Drosophila melanogaster: one gene and its partners. The protein of the gene in region 4 purifies or fractionates together with the protein of the main gene of each other region. This does not show direct contact. Each region holds a gene or a part of one and is shown on either strand. Other genes may lie near its edges.

Evidence for each region.
Region 1: the proteins of PhKgamma (region 4) and Rilpl purify together in Drosophila melanogaster (affinity purification with mass spectrometry, with the first as the bait; one large-scale study listed by BioGRID). This does not show direct contact.
Region 2: the proteins of PhKgamma (region 4) and bru3 purify together in Drosophila melanogaster (affinity purification with mass spectrometry, with the first as the bait; one large-scale study listed by BioGRID). This does not show direct contact.
Region 3: the proteins of PhKgamma (region 4) and mRpL1 purify together in Drosophila melanogaster (affinity purification with mass spectrometry, with the first as the bait; one large-scale study listed by BioGRID). This does not show direct contact.

The regions. Positions count from the first base shown.
Region 1 is NC_004354.4:1,391,141-1,397,851, forward strand, and holds Rilpl (Rab interacting lysosomal protein like), read left to right. Parts: upstream 1-1,913; 5' UTR 1,914-2,403; coding exon 2,404-3,018; intron 3,019-3,083; coding exon 3,084-3,574; intron 3,575-3,942; coding exon of another isoform or gene 3,943-3,957; coding exon 3,958-4,053; intron 4,054-4,105; coding exon 4,106-4,231; coding exon of another isoform or gene 4,232-4,235; exon of another isoform or gene 4,236-4,412; coding exon 4,413-4,545; 3' UTR 4,546-6,197; downstream 6,198-6,711. Other genes in the region: CG32813 (uncharacterized protein), read left to right, coding at 1-425. UniProt on the Drosophila melanogaster protein: May have a role in lysosome distribution by interacting with Arl8.
Region 2 is NT_037436.4:13,795,492-13,800,518, forward strand, and holds the start of bru3 (bruno 3), read right to left. Parts: upstream 3,037-5,027; 5' UTR 2,533-3,036; intron 1-2,532.
Region 3 is NT_033777.3:8,299,452-8,303,320, reverse strand, and holds mRpL1 (mitochondrial ribosomal protein L1), read right to left. Parts: upstream 1,882-3,869; 5' UTR 1,810-1,881; coding exon 1,619-1,809; intron 1,565-1,618; coding exon 1,255-1,564; intron 1,198-1,254; coding exon 634-1,197; 3' UTR 551-633; downstream 1-550. Other genes in the region: nac (neuronally altered carbohydrate), read left to right, coding at 1-256, 310-522; CG9626 (uncharacterized protein), read left to right, coding at 3,423-3,869.
Region 4 is NC_004354.4:11,693,151-11,698,187, forward strand, and holds the start of PhKgamma (phosphorylase kinase gamma), read left to right. Parts: upstream 1-1,986; 5' UTR 1,987-2,129; exon of another isoform or gene 2,130-2,234; intron 2,235-2,673; 5' UTR 2,674-3,161; intron 3,162-3,252; 5' UTR 3,253-3,298; coding exon 3,299-3,390; intron 3,391-3,915; coding exon 3,916-4,094; intron 4,095-4,160; coding exon 4,161-4,445; intron 4,446-4,510; coding exon 4,511-4,601; intron 4,602-5,037.

The DNA of each region.
Region 1 (6,711 bases), about 10 Mb from region 4:
TCAACGGGTACAACGGACTGGCAGTGGCGGGCACAGTGTGCAGCGCCTTGAACAGCAGCGGATCCGGAGCCGGAAGCGGCGGGAGCAGTGCCAACAACAGCGGCGTGGGCCTGGGGATCGGCGGGGCACACACGTCGGGCAGCGGAGGAAGTGGCAGCGGTGGGACGAGGAGCCAGCACCAGGAGCTGATGAATTCGCTGAGGATCGAGGAGAGCAAGCGGAAAATCGACCTGATCAACGCCCAAATCGAATACTGGCAGACGCTCACCCGCAAGCTGAACAGTCAGGCGAATCACATGCCCAATCCTGCGTGCCCGTGCCACTTCCCTGGAGCCAGTGTGCTCTCGCCCGTCGCCGTGACCGCCGCTAGTGCCTCATCGTCCGCTTCCGCCAATGTGTTGCAGACGCAGGCCAGCACCAGCTAGTCCGCAGCCAAGGGGCGGTTCGAACTAGTCGGGGGTCCTGCGGGCGAAAGCGAAAGCGACAGCGACATCATCTCGATAGTGGACATAGATGATGGGCGGTCTAGGGAGGACGAGCAGTCGGAGGACGATGGCGAGAACCGTGACCAGGCCATAACGGACCTGACGCTACCCGACGAAGACGAGGAAGACGATGTAGACGAAGATGACTCACAGGATGCCTTGGTCAGGGATGTTGGCGTGGTGGGCGGCCTGTCGTCGCCAGATACACCGCCCCACTCCTCTCCGCCGCCAGCGAAGCGCTCGAAGCGCCAGGAAGTCACCTCCGAGCTCCTGAGGCAGCTGGCCCTGCAGCAGAATCAGGATCCCCAGGAGGGGTGCTAGTATTTTGTCTAGTTTGCTAATTTTATACTTGCTACCATGGATTGACGCAACCACTTTGTAACATTAATTTTACCATATATATTTATTTACGCCCAGTTTGAGTGCCAAAACAGAAACCAAGATTGGGGCCTTGCCATCGAAAATGCTTGCCAAAGGACCTGCTGAAATAACCGGTCATAACCACTCGCGACCCACTATTTATTTGCCAGCCTAACTGAAACATAGCGATTCATCTCATTTTAAAATGTCTTGCGTCGCCTATTTTTTTATTGCCTTTTTTTTTCTATACATGTAACGTGTTTATTTTTAAGTTTTCCTACGAGCTGCTACCAAAAAGAATAAGAAGAAGAAGGTGACTATCTTGAATGTACATTTACTTTACAAAACTAGACCTTACTTACTTACTTAATTAGAGATCGAGCAGCTAAGAACGCATGAAAATGAAATGTACAAATGTGGTTCCTAATCTAGTCCCTAAAGTCAAAAGTGAAGAACGAAAGAGCTACAGAAAAGAAATCGAAATTGTTACGCCTAGCCGAGAACTTGTGTATTATTTTTTTATATCGCTTAGATTGTTCCCCCGAGGAAAGCATTGAAGGAACTGTAGCTAATTTATGTACTTAATGAACCAGTGAAACCAAACCAATGATTTGAAATGGTGTAAAGAGAAGAAACTTGCTAGTCGCCGCTGCATAACTGTGTAAATGTGGCACACAAACCATTTAGTTAGTGTTAGTGCTACTGTACGTGTAAAATACAATTAATTGCCTATCCAGACCCAGTAACCACAATTTACAAGGAAGCACACACCAAACGAAACTGAAAACCAAGAAAACAAAACTATTTATACAATTTTGTAAACAAGAACTTATTAATAAAACAATGAATTTACTTTGTGGCCCAGCCTGTTGACTTTTGGATAGTAAAATTTCGTTTAAGGCTTAACATTTTGGCACTTACGCTCATTTTGCTCGCTTAAGCTGCTCTTCATTTGGCGCCAAACGAATTGGCGTTGCCCAACACTGACCAGCCAGCACAAAGCGCTACCAGACTGCGCAACCGACTGCTCATCTGGGAACTGGTTCGCACATATGGGCGCCCGCGAACCAGTTATTCGTTACTCATCAGTTCCAGTTCGGTTCAGCAAAAATTGTGCAAATAAATTGCGGAAAGTCGGATTGTTTATGTGGGAATCGGCAGCGAAAAGCGACTCGGCGGCAGTAACAACTAGAGTGAATGAAGTGAGCACTGCCACTCCCACGCACACTACTGTGCAGTCTGTGTGCGCCAACTGTGAATTGCGAAGTGCGAATTCCGTACTTCGGATTGCGGATTCCCCCCCTCCCTTAAAGCACTTGGAAAACCAACACCTGGCGCACGTACACGCACACGCACACTTGTCCTGCTAGCGAAAGAAAAATCCCTGTCAGCTGGTGCAGCGATTCCCGAAGCAACTCCGAGGAGCAGGACACCGTGGAAAGAGGCGACAACTGAAGCTGGTCTTCAGTGAACACAGAGTCCAGTGAGCAAGTGTGAGCAAGTAAACAAGTGATACAGCGCTTGGCAGGAGTCACAGATTATCTGAGCGACCACCTGGATGCCCGGCTTTCACCTCAATGAGATGGGTGAAATGGTCCTGGACGCCATCGACGACATCGGCGTGGTCGATGTGTACGACTTGGCCTCCGACATTGGCAAGGAGTACGAGCGGATCATGGACCGCTTCGGCACGGACGCCGTCAGCGGGCTGATGCCCAAGATCATCAACACCCTGGAGCTGTTGGAGGCGCTGGCCACGAAGAACGAGCGCGAGAACGCCACCATCCAGGAGCTGCGCGATAAGGTGGCCCAGCTGGAGAGCGAGAAGCTGGAGAAGGCCGAGTTCCGGCGGCGGTTCGACAAGGAGCTGGAGCTGATCGAAGAGCAGTGGCGCAGCGAGACCAACGAGCTGGTCGATCTCGTCTCCTCGCTGCAAGACGAGAACAAGCGGCTGGTAAAGCAGACTCAGGATCTGCAGTCATCGTCCGCCCAGAGCTCCGGCCTGGGGGCCAGTCTCACCGAGAGCATTATCAGCATGACCAACCACGAGCTGCACAGCGCTCTTTCGGATACTCAAGTGCTGCAACGGCTGAAGGAGCAGATATACAAGCAGCGCGACGAGTTGAAGCACCGCGAGCGTGAGCTGCAGGACAAGTACAGCGAGCTGGAGCACGTGAGTGTCCTTAAGGATAGGTGCTCATATTCCCAGCTAACGTATTCTTAACTAACCCTTCCCAGCTCAATATCCAGGCGGAGCGTCTGAAGGCATCAGAGCGAGATACCCGGCGCCGCCACAAGCTGATGCAGGCCCAAGTGAAGACGCTGTGCGAGGAGCGCGCCGACTTTCTTGCCCAGCTGCAGGACCAGAGCCGGGAGATCAACCAACTGCGCAAGCGATTGGGCCTGGCCGAAAAGGAGAATGAGGATTTGGTGGCCTCGTACGACGATGGCCAGAACGATCCCAACCGGCCGCGGTACACCACGCGCGAGCTGAAAGAGTTGATTAGCGAGCGCGATGAGCTGCTGACCACCATCGACACCCTCAACGAGCAGCTGGCGGAGCTGAAGCCACCAAGCCAGGCGAAGGGCAAGCGGCAGCGTCACTTCTCCAGCTCCGACGATAGCGATGAGGACGACGATGGTCACGTGGCGGACAACGATGATGACGACGACGAGGAGGAGGCGGCTGCCGAGGCGAACGAGCTGGAGCCACCAGCGGCCGGAGAAACGTGAGTGAGCCCATTTCTGTTACATCCTTTAGTTTTGTGGTCCCTCACCAGAGAAAACAAGAATTTATGAACGACCGCTTGAGTCAAAGTGATTAACGAACAAGCATTTTCAGCCTGAGTCATTCTTTTGTTGTTGCTCAGTGCTAACAATATTCAAATAGACCCTATGATGCAAACGTTTAATTGGCAGGTGATTCAGAGCTTAAACGTATATATTTGCGTGTTTTTTCGCAAGGTCAGCAGGTAACTGGTAAATGGCACAATTGGGAGTCAAACAAATCGTTGGATTCGGATCTATATGTTGATTATTTTTGAGTTTTTATAGCTAATTACTATCCCTAGTTATGATTACTTAAGTACATACATAGTGCATCGCTTTTCAGGCCACCTGGACACGATGCGCCCGTGCAGGGCCCTTTGCCCTACGAGCCGGACGATGCGCCCTGGAAGAAGAGCTCCGAGTCGGGAATACGCAAATTGTAAGTGGCATTCAATCGGCGTAGAGCTCTCGATTCACTTTCTGCATTGTAGCTTCCGGAAGCTGTTCTCGGACCCGTCGGACGGCAGCAACACGTTCCCGAAACGTTCCTTGGCCACGCTCTCCAAGATGGCGCTGTCGGCCACGCCCGGTTCCGTTTCCGCCTCCGCAGCGGCGAAGTAAGCGCCCCTTAAAGCATCCGAGTTGGCGTGCATTTCACTTTTCGTTTGTTTTCTGTTTTTCCGTTTCCGTTCCATTCCGTTCCGTTCCGTTTGCACTGCCCCCCGCACCCCTGCATCTTGCATCCTAATTTATTATTTATTTTTTACTTTTACGTCTTACGATTACGTTTACATTTAGTTTAGGCAACAGCCTGTATCTGACCCTGTCCCTCGCCATTCACCTGCTCCGCCTGAGCTGTACATACATAGTTTACACACTCGATTGCTGTGCCCTCATAATTCTAAGTTGTTATGCAATTTTGTTTACGTAATACGCGTTTTATTCGTAACTCGTAACCCCTAACTGTACTGGATATATTTAATACGAATCCACTTTGTATTTTTCGTACCTTCGATTTATTCTAACTTGATTAACGACTACCACATAAGACTCCAAACATACCACAGCCCCCACATGTGCACGTGTTTCAAAAATCAAGATCGAGAACGAAAACGAGAACGAAAACGATATCGAGATTGTGCAAAGATTGCCGAGTGAGTTTTTAATGAATTTAGACAAAAACAAGCTTAGAAAGACAAACAGTCCTCCCAGGTGCAGATGCAGAGAAAACGATTCGGTGAGATGAGGAGACGAGACGAGGAGGACTCTGGTTCTGGGACCCCAGATTTTAGAAAGTCTAGGTAGAACGGGAAGATTTTGCTTCAATTATCCGTAGTGTAACTGTCCCTAAGACCCCTGCATCTATCTAGATCTTCGGCTATCGCCAGCCCGTATGAGTATTTTAGCACTCTCATAGCAGTTGCCCCAAGCGGCCTTATAAATATATTACAAATTTATCAAAATACGCAAACCTTAGAGCGAAAGAAACCTAAAAGTATATATAATTGATATATAATTAGCAAACGTTACAACCTTAGCGCATTGTTTGTTGACTTGAATTGAACTAACTAACGAAACCAATCTCAGCATAGTAGATTCCATTGATAGCATTCGATTGCACAAAGATGCCAAAAAGCGAAAATCTCCGCGTTACCCCATTGCCGGCCGGCCAGTCTAAATCAAGGAATGTTTTAGCCAAGAGTTTTACCATAGACTTAGCCACTGACCAGCTCGAATTGTTGTTACCGCACCCAGACGACTTCGCCCAGAGCCCCCACTCCACTTGAAGCCCAGTGATTTCGAGGAGATCTCAGTCCGATCCTCGTTCATAGCTAGTATCCATGAGAGAGACGCCCATGTAGTGCAATTACCAATATGGTGTCACTTCCCGCTCCCCTTCCACTCACAAGCACAAAGCGAGGAAACTCCGTTTACATATCAGCTCCATCGCTATCGTCGATGCGAACGTGCCAAAGACTAATGGTCAGACCCTATGCCCCCATTATTCGCAACTCCCCCCCACTACCCACACCACGCACCGAACACCCAGCCCACAACACCCGACTTACCAATCTCAATTAACCCATCTCGTTTCGAACACAACAAAGAGTGGCAACTGAACTTTTATAAAATTGAACACGAGCGCGCAATGGCATCGATATGAAAAAGTGGACTAACGTTGAGTGGGTGAAGACCACGAAAAGAAGATGGAGAGAAATTGAGTATTTGGTGAATTAATGTTAACTAAATTTATATACACATATACACATGCATTATACATAATATACTTTACTATATACTATGTAATACCGTATTATATGGAACTATGACTAACCAAAAAGGCAACAAGGCAACAATTATACAAAATTCAAAGCGTACCAGGGTGGCACTTGGACCATGGACTGCAGGAGCGACCAGAGCGATAGCGAGCATCGGATCGGATCGGATTGGATCGCATCATGGTGAACCGCATCAGAGGGCGACGCCTCCGCATCCGGGTATCATCTGCTCACCCCTGTACGTACATCAAATTTATGAGTGGCTTCCTTTGAGCGACCACCAAAATAAACTTATGAACCGTGGAGTGGATTTCGAATGAATGATTTGGGTTGGCGGCAAGTGGAGCACTCGCTGTGCGGAACCTAAGGTGTTTATTTCATTATTTAACATTACTTATAAGTTCGTTTTTAATTTGGCTTATTTTCGATTGCTTTCAAAATTATTCCCAAGGTATTGTAAGAAACAAGTCGAGATCGGCAGAGAGTTCAAGATCATTGTCATCATCGTGTGTTTCATCGTCAGAAACGAAGGATGTTTGAAGACCATCTTCAAGTTCAAGTATTTTCACGTATCATAACATTTCATATCAAGCCTTAAAGGTTAGTAGCGACTTCAATTTGCCCATAAACACATTTCGGGGTGCTCTAGTCATTGGAGTTCTGGCTTCCATGTCGCCCGAGCCTGTAGCCTCTAGCTACTGATATCCTTTGCACAAGGACAGTCGGTGGGGTTGTATTTCGATCGTGCTTTTGGTACTAAGAAAAGGGGGTGGATGTCGAACAAGGCTGATTGCGTAACACCTGGCAGTGCATCCCAT
Region 2 (5,027 bases), on a different chromosome or scaffold from region 4:
TTTTCAGTTTTACCTGCGTGTTGGTGTATTTTTTTTAGTGCCGCTTTGCGCAGATTAACATATTTAATAGTAACTGAGAAAAGATATCATTAAATAGGAACGAGTTGTACAATAAGTATTTTGCATATTTTATTTCCACATCAGCATTATTATAATTTTATCTCGCCAATTTATCAACTGCACCATTTAAGCTACGAGTTGTGAAGCACTATAAATTAATTAGAGTTTGTGAAACAATTTTTGGCACACTGACTTATAATTGAAACTTTCCTACAAGTGCGGCAATTGCTAAATTTAAAGACGCAAAAGTAGAACCATAGAACGGAAAAAGTTGAGATAAAGGTTAGATAAAAAAAGCTTAAATAGGCTTAAATAGTTTTCTCAATTATAAAGTTTATACTTTCTTATTAAACTTCCTATCCCCTTGCTTGTTTATACAATTATTCTTAAAGGTAATTTCACCTAAGGCGACAGCCCATTAATACCAATTTTATATTAGTACATTTACGAGATTTGCTTTACCAGCTCAGTATGCACAATATAATAGTCTCATGCTGCGACATTCTTTGCTTTATTGCCTTAAGATTTATGTCATTGAATTGGCCTGATTGGGCCAACTGGGTATGAACCAACTTGGCATTCTTTCCAGTTTCAATAAATGGGCACATGCTGCGTATGAGCAATATTTCAATTACATTTTAAACGCTTACCAATAGATTTCATAATCTTTCTTTTACTATTCATAAGCTACTATTTGAAACTTTTCATTGAATAAGTTGTCAAAGGAGGACATGTTATAAACATTTCCTGTGAGAGAGACAGTGTGTTAGAATTGCCCTTCAAGGGGCCTGAAAAGGTCAAATGGCAACGTAAGTCAACGCCGCTTCCTTTCACTTCATTATTACTTTCTAATCCATACTTATTCTATTTCTAATTAAACAATTAATAATATAAATTTTTCAAACTATTATAAAAAAAGGAAAATAGTGAAATCTTATGTAAGGTTATTGCTGTTAAATTTTACCCATTGATGTTGCAAGCGATTGCAGTAATTTACTAACTTACTTCTGGGTGAAATGGAGAAATTATGGCTTATATAAATCGCATTGATAAATCTCTGGCCAGCACGTAATATGGAAATTAAAACACAACTCAAACAAAGAGCAGTCTAGAAACGGCAAAAACCATCTCACCCACATGCACATTTACTTGCGCGCCAAATGTTTCCTCACATGCAAAATGGACATGCAGCATTGTTTTAATTTTTTAGTAACTTAACAAAACGAAAACGCGTTTGGTATGTCCAGGGTTCGCAAATTACAGTGTCTACTTTTTGTGTTCTAAGTATAAAAACGGCAATTAAAAATTACTATTCCCTAAGCGAACATTTAAGATTAAATACTACTAGTAATATCAATTGGTCTTAAAATGAACTCGAAAATAGTGGAATATATTGAGAACATTGTAGGAAAATGTTTTCAGGCCCCAAAATGAAAGAAAATTGTCAAATGCAAGACTTGTCTCCAAATCAAGCCCTAGATGCCAGACATTTGTGGTCGGCCAGCTAGGTTTCTTTAGCAGTCACAGGAAAATCTGGTCTATTACGTTTGTGACCCAACATTTTTGCAGCCTCATGGCATGGGAAATGGAAAATTGTTACTGAAAATCGCAGACTCCTCCAGACCCAGGCATCCGTTTGCAAATGTTTCAAGTTTAAAATGAGCGTGTAATTAGAAATGTAAAGAGGGTAATGAGGAGGGCAGCCCAGGGTAAACGGAAAGTGGAGTCGAGTCAGCTGCCGAGCAAAAGTCACTGCTGCGTCTCGTCCCCAGGAAATGTACCACGCAAACGAAGAAAATGGCGAATAAAATTGAAATAAAGTGGTGCAAATGCAAAAACGTGCACACACCCGTACAGCTCACCTCGCCGCAAAAGTGCAGCAAGCACCACCTCAAACCGTTGGAAGGAGGTTGAAGTTTCTGCTCCCAACAATGAGTAGCATAAAAAGTTATGTATAAAAATCTTTCGCTATTTTTTGCTTGCACTTCCGTTACAAGGCGAACCGAATTTGCATGTGACATTTGTGGTTGGGTTTTTGTTGATGGATGAGGGTCGACAGATATCTTTGAATCAGCAAAGTTGGCTGATAAAGCCATGAACGACGTTGTGTACGTGTGTTTAAATTAGAAAAAACTGTGATATATTTACCAAGGGAAATGCAATGGTATCTTAATTACAATTTTTGATATGTTTTGATAATAGTTAGAGGATATTAAAAGATCGCTGCATGAAAGATTAAGGAGTCTTTTGTGCGATGAATTAAACTATAATAATACTGTGCAAATTTACTGAGATAGTCGTTTGATTAATGTGGGCTAAAAAAATAAAAAGAGAAACGGACATATATCAAAATATAACACTATGAATATGTAAAGCATCTTCTTATTCTATGAAACTTTTGACTAAAATCATTTTAATAATTTATATTTTCAAAAATAATTGTTTATCAAAAGTGTTTATTTTTTTACTTACCACTTTGTAACGCCCAATTAAGCTGTAAGCGCTTTAATAGCCAAACATTCGAAAACACGACGAAAAGTATTTGTTGTTTTATTTGCTGTATAATTCAATTTGTTTTCACGGTTAGCATATGTAATATTTACTCTGCATATTTATTCAATAATAAATATAAATTTGTATTTCATAATTTTTTTTTTTTTTTCACCTAACAGTGTTTGCTGGTATTTAATGATCTGGCGCACCTCCTGGTCTACACGGTTTTATTACACATTGCATTAGGCACTACATTAATTCCTGATGTTTTTGTTGTATTTTTTAATTTCGCTTACGCTGTTTGCAGAATTAATTTATAAAATATTTAAAGAACGACGCGCCGCAAGCTTTTATTTTTGGTTATTTCTGTTTGTGTTGTTTTTTTTCCCATGAATTATTGATGGCGTTTGTTTTGTATTTTGTTATTCATTTATTACTTTTGATAATATTTTTTGCAGACGCTGTAAAACATAAATGCACAGTGATGTTTAAAGAGGGGGTGTAGGGGGGCGTGTTACAAATCCATATGAGGGCGCGTAACGGCGTGGCGATAATAAACATGCACAAACACAATAAATTTTACATTATAAACAGCAAGAGCAACAAAATGTACAATTAGCAACAGCGAAAGCATAAATTTCGGTTAAGAGTTTAAACGCGAAACAGCAAAATCTCGTATACGCCATGTGAACGCGTGATAATTATGGCTTTTGGGCACGCAGTATAGGCCACAGAAGATATCTTGAAATTGTTGTGTATATTTTTTACATCACTTTCCCGACATCCTGCAAAATGAGCGCTGAAAGCGAAATGTTTTCCAGCAAGGACATGGACGCGAGGTGGCAAGGTCTGTCAATAGCTAAAGTTGGCTGACGAAGCCAAAAACAAAACACTGGCTGCGAAGAAGCCAAGCGCAGCCTTTTGGCAGCTGGAAAAACACATATATGTACACGTCTTTGTGGGCGCAGTCTGGGCTAGTAAAAGGCAAGCGCGGAGCAAAAGGACTCTGGCTGTAGCGACAAAAAAGGAAATCAAGCCAAAAGCTGAGAAAAAAGCGCAAGCGGATGATGAGACCTGACTGGCCCAGAAGAAAATGAAGAGAGAAAAGCGGCGAAAATCCAGAGCCAAGTGATACAAAAAGGATACTCCTCACCCATTTAATGGCGAAGTGTTCATTTCGGGGAAAAGTACATCATCCTTTCTAGGTGAATACTATGAGTAACAGTCATTTATCGGTGCGGTGTTTATTAAGGATACTTGGGCTGTATATCTAGCTTGCGGAGAAAAGCGAGATCTAGGTGACAAGAAAAGGATACTTCTTAGCTATTAGAGAGATGTTTCTTAGTATATGGATACTATGATTCCTTGTTATTTATTAATAAGATTAATATTACACAATAATTAGCGGAAAAGAACGAAAAAGAGGCCAAGAATAAATACATTTCTTGCTGGATACTATTCTCATGTGCCTTGAGCAACTGACGCGGACAATGACGTGACAATGAACAATTATGGGTCAGTTATTGGCCATCTTTGTCCATTGTCATTCTCTTCATTTCTTGAAAGATCCCCTTTTAATGTGATTTATTGATTGGAGGTCAAACTTTATACGTCCCACTACCTCGGGGCATATATGTATATGCCATAAAAAAAAGGCAGAGAAAACGTATTTGTCATGCCTTCCACTCTGTTATCTTTCTATCTTCTTTGGCCCTTATTCTTTTGCCTGTTTAGCCATTTTCCATGATGACTTGGCTTGTGTACGCCCGACTAGGTTTTTGCTATTTACACACGCCTACATGGCAGGGGTCCCCTTCTCAGCCTTCAGAGGCCATAATATCTTTGCCCCGCCAGAATGGCTGCGTCGTCTGTTTTATAATTTTCACAGACGTCGCCCCCATCACAAGCCCCCCTCCCCACCATCTTTCAAGTGCCCTGGGTTGACACTCGCACATTCAAACACTTCATAAAAAAAGCCGCGCTTGTGCCCATTATTTATGTATATTTTCACCTACATTTATTTTATTTATGGAAGGCAAAACGAATGGAGACAGTGAAACTAAAAAGGAACGCTGTGAGTTAAGATGAGCCAAAAAGCCTAAGGGAGAAACATCGAAAACACCAGATGAGAATGGAAGAGGATATCTTTAACACAAAAAAGGAAGGACTTTGCCGGCATAAAAAACAGGCGCTATTAATCAGAAGCTCAATTTAAAGGCAAATTTAAAAAGCTGCGAAATACTAGCGTTTATACGTTTTTTTTTTTTCAATATTTAAAAAATTTTTACACTATTTTTTGTGTGCAAATAAATCGGTTAAAATAAATCATATTAATTTAATTATAACAAATAAATCGAAAGAACTGCGCAAATAGAGAAAGAGAAACTAGTTTTAATTGTATCCACTTAAATCAGCCAGTAAAGCTATCGTTGCTGAATTTATCAATTAAATATTTTTTCTGCTCTTGTGAACCC
Region 3 (3,869 bases), on a different chromosome or scaffold from region 4:
TAGTTCGCTTGCTTTGGCCATGTTTTCTATTCAGACGAAGAAATCATTGGGTTATGTCAACCAGGAGGTATGGCTGCTTAGCTACTACAATAATCTCTACTCCACGTTGCTCTTCCTGCCCCTGATCATCATCAATGGCGAGCTGGAGAGCATTATCACGTATCCGCACCTGTGGGCTTCTTGGTTCTGGGCCGCGATGACGCTTAGTGGCCTTTGTGGCTTTGCCATTGGATTTGTCACTGCGCTGGAAATCAAGGTAATCAAACAATTCACATGTTAATCGCTTATCTAGCCCGATCGATATTTCAGGTCACATCCGCCCTGACGCATAATATCTCGGGAACGGCCAAGGCCTGCGCTCAAACGGTGATCGCCACTCAGTACTACCATGACGTTCGATCGGCTCTCTGGTGGACCTCCAATGTGGTGGTCCTGGTGGCCAGCGCCGCCTACACCCGTGTCAAGCAGCTGGAGATGATGCGCCAGCACCAACAACGCAGCACCGCCACCCAGAAGGCCTGAATGCAATTAAAAGCTGCCAAAGTAAAGTAGACTGTTTAGGACTCTAGGAGATGTAAGTTTAAAGTATGCACAAACAATCCATCAACAAAAATACATAGGCTTCTGTTTTAACTAATTGGAGGCAACTGCTTCTTGGGGTTCCGCCGGCTCTGTCTGCTTCTTGGCCCCATCCCTTTTCACCTTCGCCGTGCTCTTGTCCCACATCTCTGGAACGTAGACAAAGGGATCGATTTTCAGCTGCTCACTGCTTGGCGGGCTCTTCAGCAGGACACGTGTAATGAAACGTCCCTCGCGCTTGGGCCTCATAGTGTTAATATCCTGCAGTAGGAACTTGATGTTCTCCTCAAGCTTCTGGACATCCATGTCCAAAGTGCCCACACTGGCGGTGATCAGGCCAAAGTTTTGCTGGTACTCATCCTTGGCTGCACTGTAACTAATGCCGCTGGAGAATTTGACGATCATCTCGGCCAGGTTGGTGCCCAGCGTCTCGCTCTTTGGATTTGGGAACTTGCGTTTCATCAGGCCTCGCAGGGCCACCAGCTCGGCCAGTATATTCGGATGGGCAATGACGTACTGGTAGTCGGAGAGCAGCAGCTCGCCGCTGGTAATATCCTTAATGAGCTCCACGCCGCCGACTAGCGAGGCGCCAGCTTCCCTGGCCTCCAGGACTTCATTCTGGAAATAAATTTCAAGATGTTATTTTATGATTTTGTACTAAGAAGCTGCACTCACATTTCCCTTGGTGAAAACTATGATCTTCCGCTCCTCGCCGTGGTCAAACTTGTGTGGAATCATGGCCATGCGCTGGAAGTTATCCACAAAACGTGTGATCTTCTCCGCCTGCATGTTGAGTTCAATATCCAAATTGAGGGGAGCATTGGGTACGTTGTACATGCTGGGATGATGCGTCTCCCGATGGCACTGGATAGCTTCCTGCACCGAGTACACTGGCCAGCGGTAGTAGCGCCCCACATAGCAGTCATCTTTGGGCACCTGTTTCCAGGAGTCATCCACATGTTTGTCCGCCCGTTTCACATTGATTCTAGAGAAGAACGATAGTAAATCCGGTGTTATGGACATCGAGCTGACAACCTACTTCTTGTTGCGCTGGTTGTGCGGGATGAATCCAACCTTCTTCACTTCCACCTTGACTTTCTTCTTGCGGGCCTTCTCCCGAGTTCCTTTACGGGCCGCCTCGCTCACGGCGGAAAGATGCAGCAGGCGGAGGGGCTCCACCGTGCTCTGGCGCAGGGCCAGTGCCCTCATTGAAGACAGAATGGACTGCATTTCTTTCAGAAATATTACTATTTACTGGAATGCAAACCTCTCGCTTTGCATAACCTCGCCGGCCAGAACTGCCAACTCTTCGTCGGAAAACTACTGTTTACCACACTGTAGCTGATAAAAGCCTGACCACGAACCATGGTTGTAAACTTGGCTAATAGTAATAGCACGAATTGAAGTCAATGTTTTTAACGGGCTTTTTCAAAAACTATTTTGAGGTGCGTTTATTCGAATAATAATTTATGAGTTAGAAATTGGGTATGAACCTGTACACCCAATTTTTATCTCATAAATTGTAAAAATACATTTAATTACATAGTGATTGAATTTTAATTATTATTTTTCAATAAGAAATCCACTATAGGGCTGATTAACCCATTGATTAATTATATTCAAAGAGACCTTTGGAAATCAGCAAAGAGATCAAAACACTGCCCGTTCTCTCTATAAATAAATCTCAAAATTTTCAACTTTTCCGATGTGTTCAAAAGCGCCGTACCGCTCAGAATAGCTTCGACCGACGAACGGAACGGACGTATACGGAATTTCAAAGTCGCGGAAAATCGCGAGTATCCGTGAGGGAGAGAGAAAGAGACAGCGAGCGAGTGGCCGATGAAAATTCCGCGGCGGGTCGGACGACCGAGTGTGCAAGTAGGAAAAGTGCAAGTAATAATTTGTTATTGTTTTTCCTTTCAACAAAACACCAAAAATAGACCGACAACCTTGCGCATAAACCCATTAAACAAAAGAAGCGCAGCCAGGAAGAAAAGTCGAGCGAAGAAAAGAAAAATGTGTGTATTCAATGTGTGGCAACAGTTTCGATATAACGTTCGGAAAGTGGCGAAAGTAATGGGGGCCGCCGACTTCAGATACACATGATCTGATCCCAGCACCAGCCATCCACCCATTCACCCACCCACCCACTGATCCACCGGTCCACGTCCGTCCATCCATCCATCCAGCACATTTCTTTCGCGAGTGCGTGCACTTTCGCATAAATTGGAAATATTAATTGCGTGTAACCTAAAAGTGGAATAAAGGAAGTGTTGCGCACTTGGCGATGGGGAATCGAGAAGGGGGCCAGCGGCACATTGGGTGTGTGTGGTGGCGTAGTGCGATCGCCATGGGGAGGCAAACAAAAGAGTGTCAGCGTTTTATAAATAGTTTGGTTTGCGGCGTGCTTTTATTTGTTCTTCGGCGGGCCTCCCGACGCACGATGGCATCCAGTTGTTGAGCCAAAAGCGTAATCAAGACCCAAAACACAATAACACAGTGCATTCCGAATCGGTTCTCCGTTTCGGTTAAGTGACCACACGCGTGCATATTTTTGGGAAAGATTCAAAACTTTCGCACATGTGGGAAAACGTGCTGAAATGGGATTTTCGAAAATATTGTTTACATTTCGCGGACTTAATCGTTACACTTTAGGACTCGTTTGTATGTGTGTGTGTGTTTGTGTGTGTGTGTGTGCTTGGCGGCGGACGTTCCACATTGGTCTTCCTCTTCTATAAACAATCTCCCGATTTTGATAATTCTCGGATATTCTTTTCTTGTGTGCGTTTTTAGTGGCGAATCGGGCAGAGTAAACAAACAAGTTCCTATTGAGCGATATCGAGATGGAGTGGGACAAGCCACCTCCGCCGCCGCATCCACCGCCAAAACCCCGACGAACGCGATCCCGGCAGAATGTCCTGCACTATGAGTCCTTGCCCACCGCTCCGCCGGCGATGTGCGGTCGCACGGAAGAGAACATTTTCCAGTTTCCGGCGGTGGCCTCCCGTGCCCGCAATCTCTCCGCCTCCCCTAAATTCGAGAGGAGAGAGGCCAAGGATCTGCCCGTTTGCGAACTGGGTAAGCACTCTTGCTCCAAGTGCCAGCCCTATCGGGCGGATCGGGGCACCATCGAACCGCTGAAAACTCGCCTCAACTCGGCAATTGAAGCCATGGATGAGCTGACTCGCACGTACGCTTTGCTGGAGGGATTTCTGGAGCACCGACTAGCCACCATCACCGACAACGAGGCGGGTGAACGGGAAGCTGAGCTGACAGTTGTTGATGATGAC
Region 4 (5,037 bases):
TAATCGCCAATTCATATTATTATTAAGGTAACTAACCCAGATTAGAACAGACACTCGAACACACGCACACACCAGCCACCAACACCACTTGGCACATCCTAGTCATATCATCAACTTCCATCGCTCATCTCCACTTCCATTTCTTTATCCACTGGTCATGTTTCGTTTTCATTTGCTTGAAAAGATCCAGGCGAGATCCTCCTTTATCCACAACACCGTCACCTCATCTCGATTATATATACATATAAATATATATATATATGTTCTGAAATATATATTTCCCAACTCGGAGCCACCTTATTTATCATTGTACTAACCCCAAATCCTTGGAAGGATTTAAACCCACTTGAAATAAAGATATACAGTCGATTAATCTCGTTCTACACATAATTGCAGGCTCCACGGCTCTGGGCTTCTACACGCCCATGAAGGGCACGGCGATGGACAACCTATTCCAGCTGGGTGTCACCCGATACGCCCTGCCCGAGAGCAGCAGCAGTGGGAGCAGCAATGGCAGCCACAGTCCAGGCAGCAACGGGAGCAGTCCAGCCGGAGCTGCGGGCAGCCGGTTGATGTTCAACGGGAATGGCAGCATTATGGGCATCGGCGAGGGACTGATCAAGGAGGGCGACTTGGCGGCAACGGAAGCAGGACCTGGAACTGCAGATGGAGCAGGTGCCTCCAAGAAGGGTTCAGCTGTGGACGAGGATGATTACCATCTGACGGCGACGCCGGGCGCCGAAGTTGTGTACAGCGAGGGTACACAGAAAACGGATTTGCTATATTAGGTCGTCCTGCCAGCCAAAAAACCGGAGCGTCTAGCTCTTTTTCTACCGGTTTCCACCAAACTCCAAACCTTCCGAGCATAACAACCTACCACATCCTGATCGTTCCCCTAATTGAAAAGCGTGCACTTAGGTGAAATATCAACTTCGGTTAGACGCGAAAACAGTAACGAAGGAAAGAAAAATAAAAACAACAAGGCAACGTAAACCAAGTATGGCAAGAAATCCATAAAGATACGTATATAAATAGATATTATTTGTAAGTTTGTAAGCCTAGAGATCCGATGTGTATGTGTACAACAGCAAGCGTGTGTGTCTGTCTTCTTTATAAATATATATATATGGTTTTTTTTTTTTGATAAATTAATAATTATATTATTGTAATGTATCTACATACGGCACTGAATGAACAACTTTGCTGCTGCAATTGTATTTGTATTTGTATTGTGTATTCCATTTACGGCATTTTGATAGTAAATATACAACAACAACAAATCAACGTATTTCCGACTGCATCCCGAAGGTTACTGAAACCTTAATCCACGAAGTACGCGACGAGCGGTTAGTCCCGCCCGAGTATTAACTTAATGGATTCTAACGATCCGATCTTGTGACCCATCATCATCCCTTTTCGCGACCCTTCCAAAACGAAAATGAAGAACATTCTAAGCTCCGCTTGCCCATTCAGCGGAAGAAAGCAAAGGAAAATGTAACATTTGCCTCATAATTATTATATACATTTAGCGCTTATTGAATATTTTTTACAATTGTATTCCGTAAATAAATATAAAATACATCAACATCTAGTCGCGTGTTTTAAGTTAAAGGAAGTTAAGGCCAAAGCAAAATGTTAGCAACAGTTTTTGTTAAAAGTTAACATATATAATAATGGTAATTTAAATATTCAAATCTATGAAGTGACTTATTTTATAAGTCCACTTATGTTTGTTATATTTAATTGGTATTTAGAAAAGGATTCATTTTAAATTAACACCGTTGAGGGTTCAATTTTGGTAGTGCGTCTTTGCTAACCATGCCGAGTGGGATCAAGTCCTTGCTAAGTTAGGATGTTGTCTTAGCTAACTGTGCCATCCCTGGTCGGGGTGTGTCTTAGCTAACAATTACGTGTCGATAGATATAATGCTATCGATATGACAGAGTGTCGGGAACAATCGATAGCATTACTTCGATATCGGTACTAGTGCCACCTCCAGTTTTGTGATTGTGTCAAAAATACAGGGTTTTATTGTTGCACTAGCAATTTAATCCGAGGAATATAAATTTTGTGTGGAGTTATGTTCGAGACGTCGTTGCCAGCGATTCAAGAGGCGAGCGGTCACACGTGTATGTGTTTCACTGGCGGTGCGGGCGCCAACTCCGCCAAAAAGCGTACTACTTTTAACCTTAGTTGACATTGAAATGTACCCGCTTAGTTGGATGTCCACGATGGTGCGTGTGTGTGCGTATATGTGTGCTATGCGGCGTCTGTGTGCGCGAGTGTGTGTGTGGGATTGCAAAGGAGGATGGGAGAAACGAGAGCAGAGCAAAAACAAAAACAAAAGGAACCTGCTGCACATAGTCGGTGCATGCGAGCGTGCTTATGTGTGTGTGCGTGCGTGCTAGCAAAACAACTGCAAGAAATCAGCAACAGTAGTAGAAGAAGAGAAGCTGTATCACTGATAAGGAGGCTAAACAACAACAAAAACAGCAACGATAATGTGCACCCTTTCGAAATGCAAACAAAACAAAGCGTTGTAGTTGTGTAATCATTCGTTGTGAACACACCACACACACACACACACACAACACTTGTTTAATAATACATTTTAATTCTATTATTTTTGATTTAATTTTTGCCTGTTATTCAAATCGATCTGTGTTTTTGCAGTTGGCATTCGTTATTAATTAAATCAGCCGCCAACAGCTGAGCGAGAGAGCAATCGAGAGCGACAGGAGAGGATCCACTTCCAATCGAATCGGGTGGAATCGAATAGCAGGGGCTTGGTAATTAAAAGGAAGACCGAACTGAACTGAACTAAACTGAAACGGAACGAAGCGAAGCGAAGCGCGGCGAGGCGGCAAGAAACGAAAAGAAAAGAACGAAAGTCGGCAGAGTCGGAAAGTCGGCAAGTCTGATTGTCGGCAAAGTCGCAAAGTCGGAGAGTCACAGTCTCAATCGCAGTCGGCGAGAGATTCCACTCGTGTCGCACGTCCGTTCGTTTCCACATTGTCGTTATAAAAATAGCAACGCCTTAAACGATCGCATCAACCTCATCAACAGAACACCACCAGAAATCACCGCCCCCTCCTACGCCTCAATCGCCATCGCCACCGCATCCCATCCCCATCATCTTCATTAGCAGGCAGCCTGACAGAGTAACTAACTGATCTTGATTGCGACCATAATCACCGTCATCATCATGTAATCCTTCACTAACCAATTGATTTCCGCTCGTCCACCAAATAGATTCCAAACTGCCGTTTCGGCAGCCGGCAAGATTTCACGAAATCTAATGGCCAAGGACGAGGAGGATGATCTGCTGCCCGACAAGGATGCGGCCAAGGGCTTCTATGCCAAATACGAGCCCAAGGAGATTCTGGGCAGGTAAGAATCGAACTACACTTGCCGTGATCTCAAACCTCTTATTAAATCCTTTTAAATTCAGTTGAAGTATTATTGATCCTGCACTTAACCATTCAAATACGTTTCTTTCTATTTACTTTGCGTAGTTAATTTTGCAAATTTAAGATCATAGAAACATTGATACTTGTATCCTCAGAAATCACTAGAACGTCCAAATATTGATTGTTTCTGCTTTCCCAACCTCTTACTGCCAAGTCTGCAGTAATGCAGTTTGGGCTAAATGGTGCCAAGTGAGTCAGCCTCATCAAGCTTCCATGGCATGGAGCAATGGCATGGGCTGCTTTTCAAGCGGCGCCTGTCTGCCGGCCTACTCACGCCACAACGAAGATCAGAATTTGCCAAGCAAATAGCAGAGACTAAGCGAAAACAAGGGCTAATTACATATTACAATTCTAGGGATTAGAGATTAGATAAATACCCGATCATGGCAATGTCAAGTGCAGCAGAAGCAGAGCTCTTTATCTACATGCAATGTTTGTCTTACAGGGGCATCAGTTCGACCGTGAGGCGATGTATCGAAAAGGAGACGGGCAAGGAGTTTGCCGCCAAGATCATCGACTTGGGCGCCACCACAGAGTCAGGCGAGACGAATCCATATCACATGCTGGAAGCAACCAGACAAGAAATCTCAATACTGCGCCAGGTCATGGGGCATCCCTACATAAGTTAGTCTCACATAGCACCCACATGTACTTAATTCCACCACTAACCATCTACATTATCGTGCACAGTTGATCTGCAGGATGTGTTCGAGTCAGATGCATTTGTTTTCCTCGTCTTCGAGCTGTGTCCCAAAGGTGAACTCTTCGACTATCTGACCTCTGTGGTGACGCTATCCGAGAAGAAGACGCGCACCATTATGCGACAAATCTTTGAGGGCGTCGAGTACATACACGCGAAGAGCATTGTCCATCGGGATCTTAAGCCCGAGAATATCTTGCTGGACGAGAACCACAACGTTAAGATCACGGATTTTGGCTTCGCCAAGCAGTTGCAAGAGGGCGAGAAACTTACAAGTAATTATAACACAGCATCCTTCTGTATTCGCTAAGCTAAACTATATGTACTTTCCCCCTATTAGATCTGTGCGGAACGCCGGGTTATTTGGCTCCCGAAACGCTCAAGTGCAACATGTTCGAGGGATCCCCCGGCTACTCGCAGGAAGTCGACATGTAAGAGCGAATAAACTAGCCACTTATTATTACACCTTTTTTTGGCTCACTTAAATTATAGAAGCAATTTAAGCACAAAAAGTATCACATTTATTGTAATACGAATTGTCTGCTCAAATTACTAAATTGCTTATGTTAACAGCTAATTTTATTATTAAAAATTTTTGCTTACATAAAAAAAGAAAGGTCTAAACTTTTGTATCGATATTAGACCCGTTTTCCTTTTTTTTTTGTTTTATAGACGCAAATTTTGCTGATACATTTCATTAACTAGTGTTCCTCGTGTCAGGCGATTTGTTTTGATCTTTAGGTGTGCATTTTAATGAATGAGTCAGAAGCAGAAAGGCATAATAATCTGAAATCTGAGTAGTTCCGATACCGACGTCTATATTTCTTCGGTTCAGCAAAACGTAGGGCTTTTTGTATTTTTGAGTTC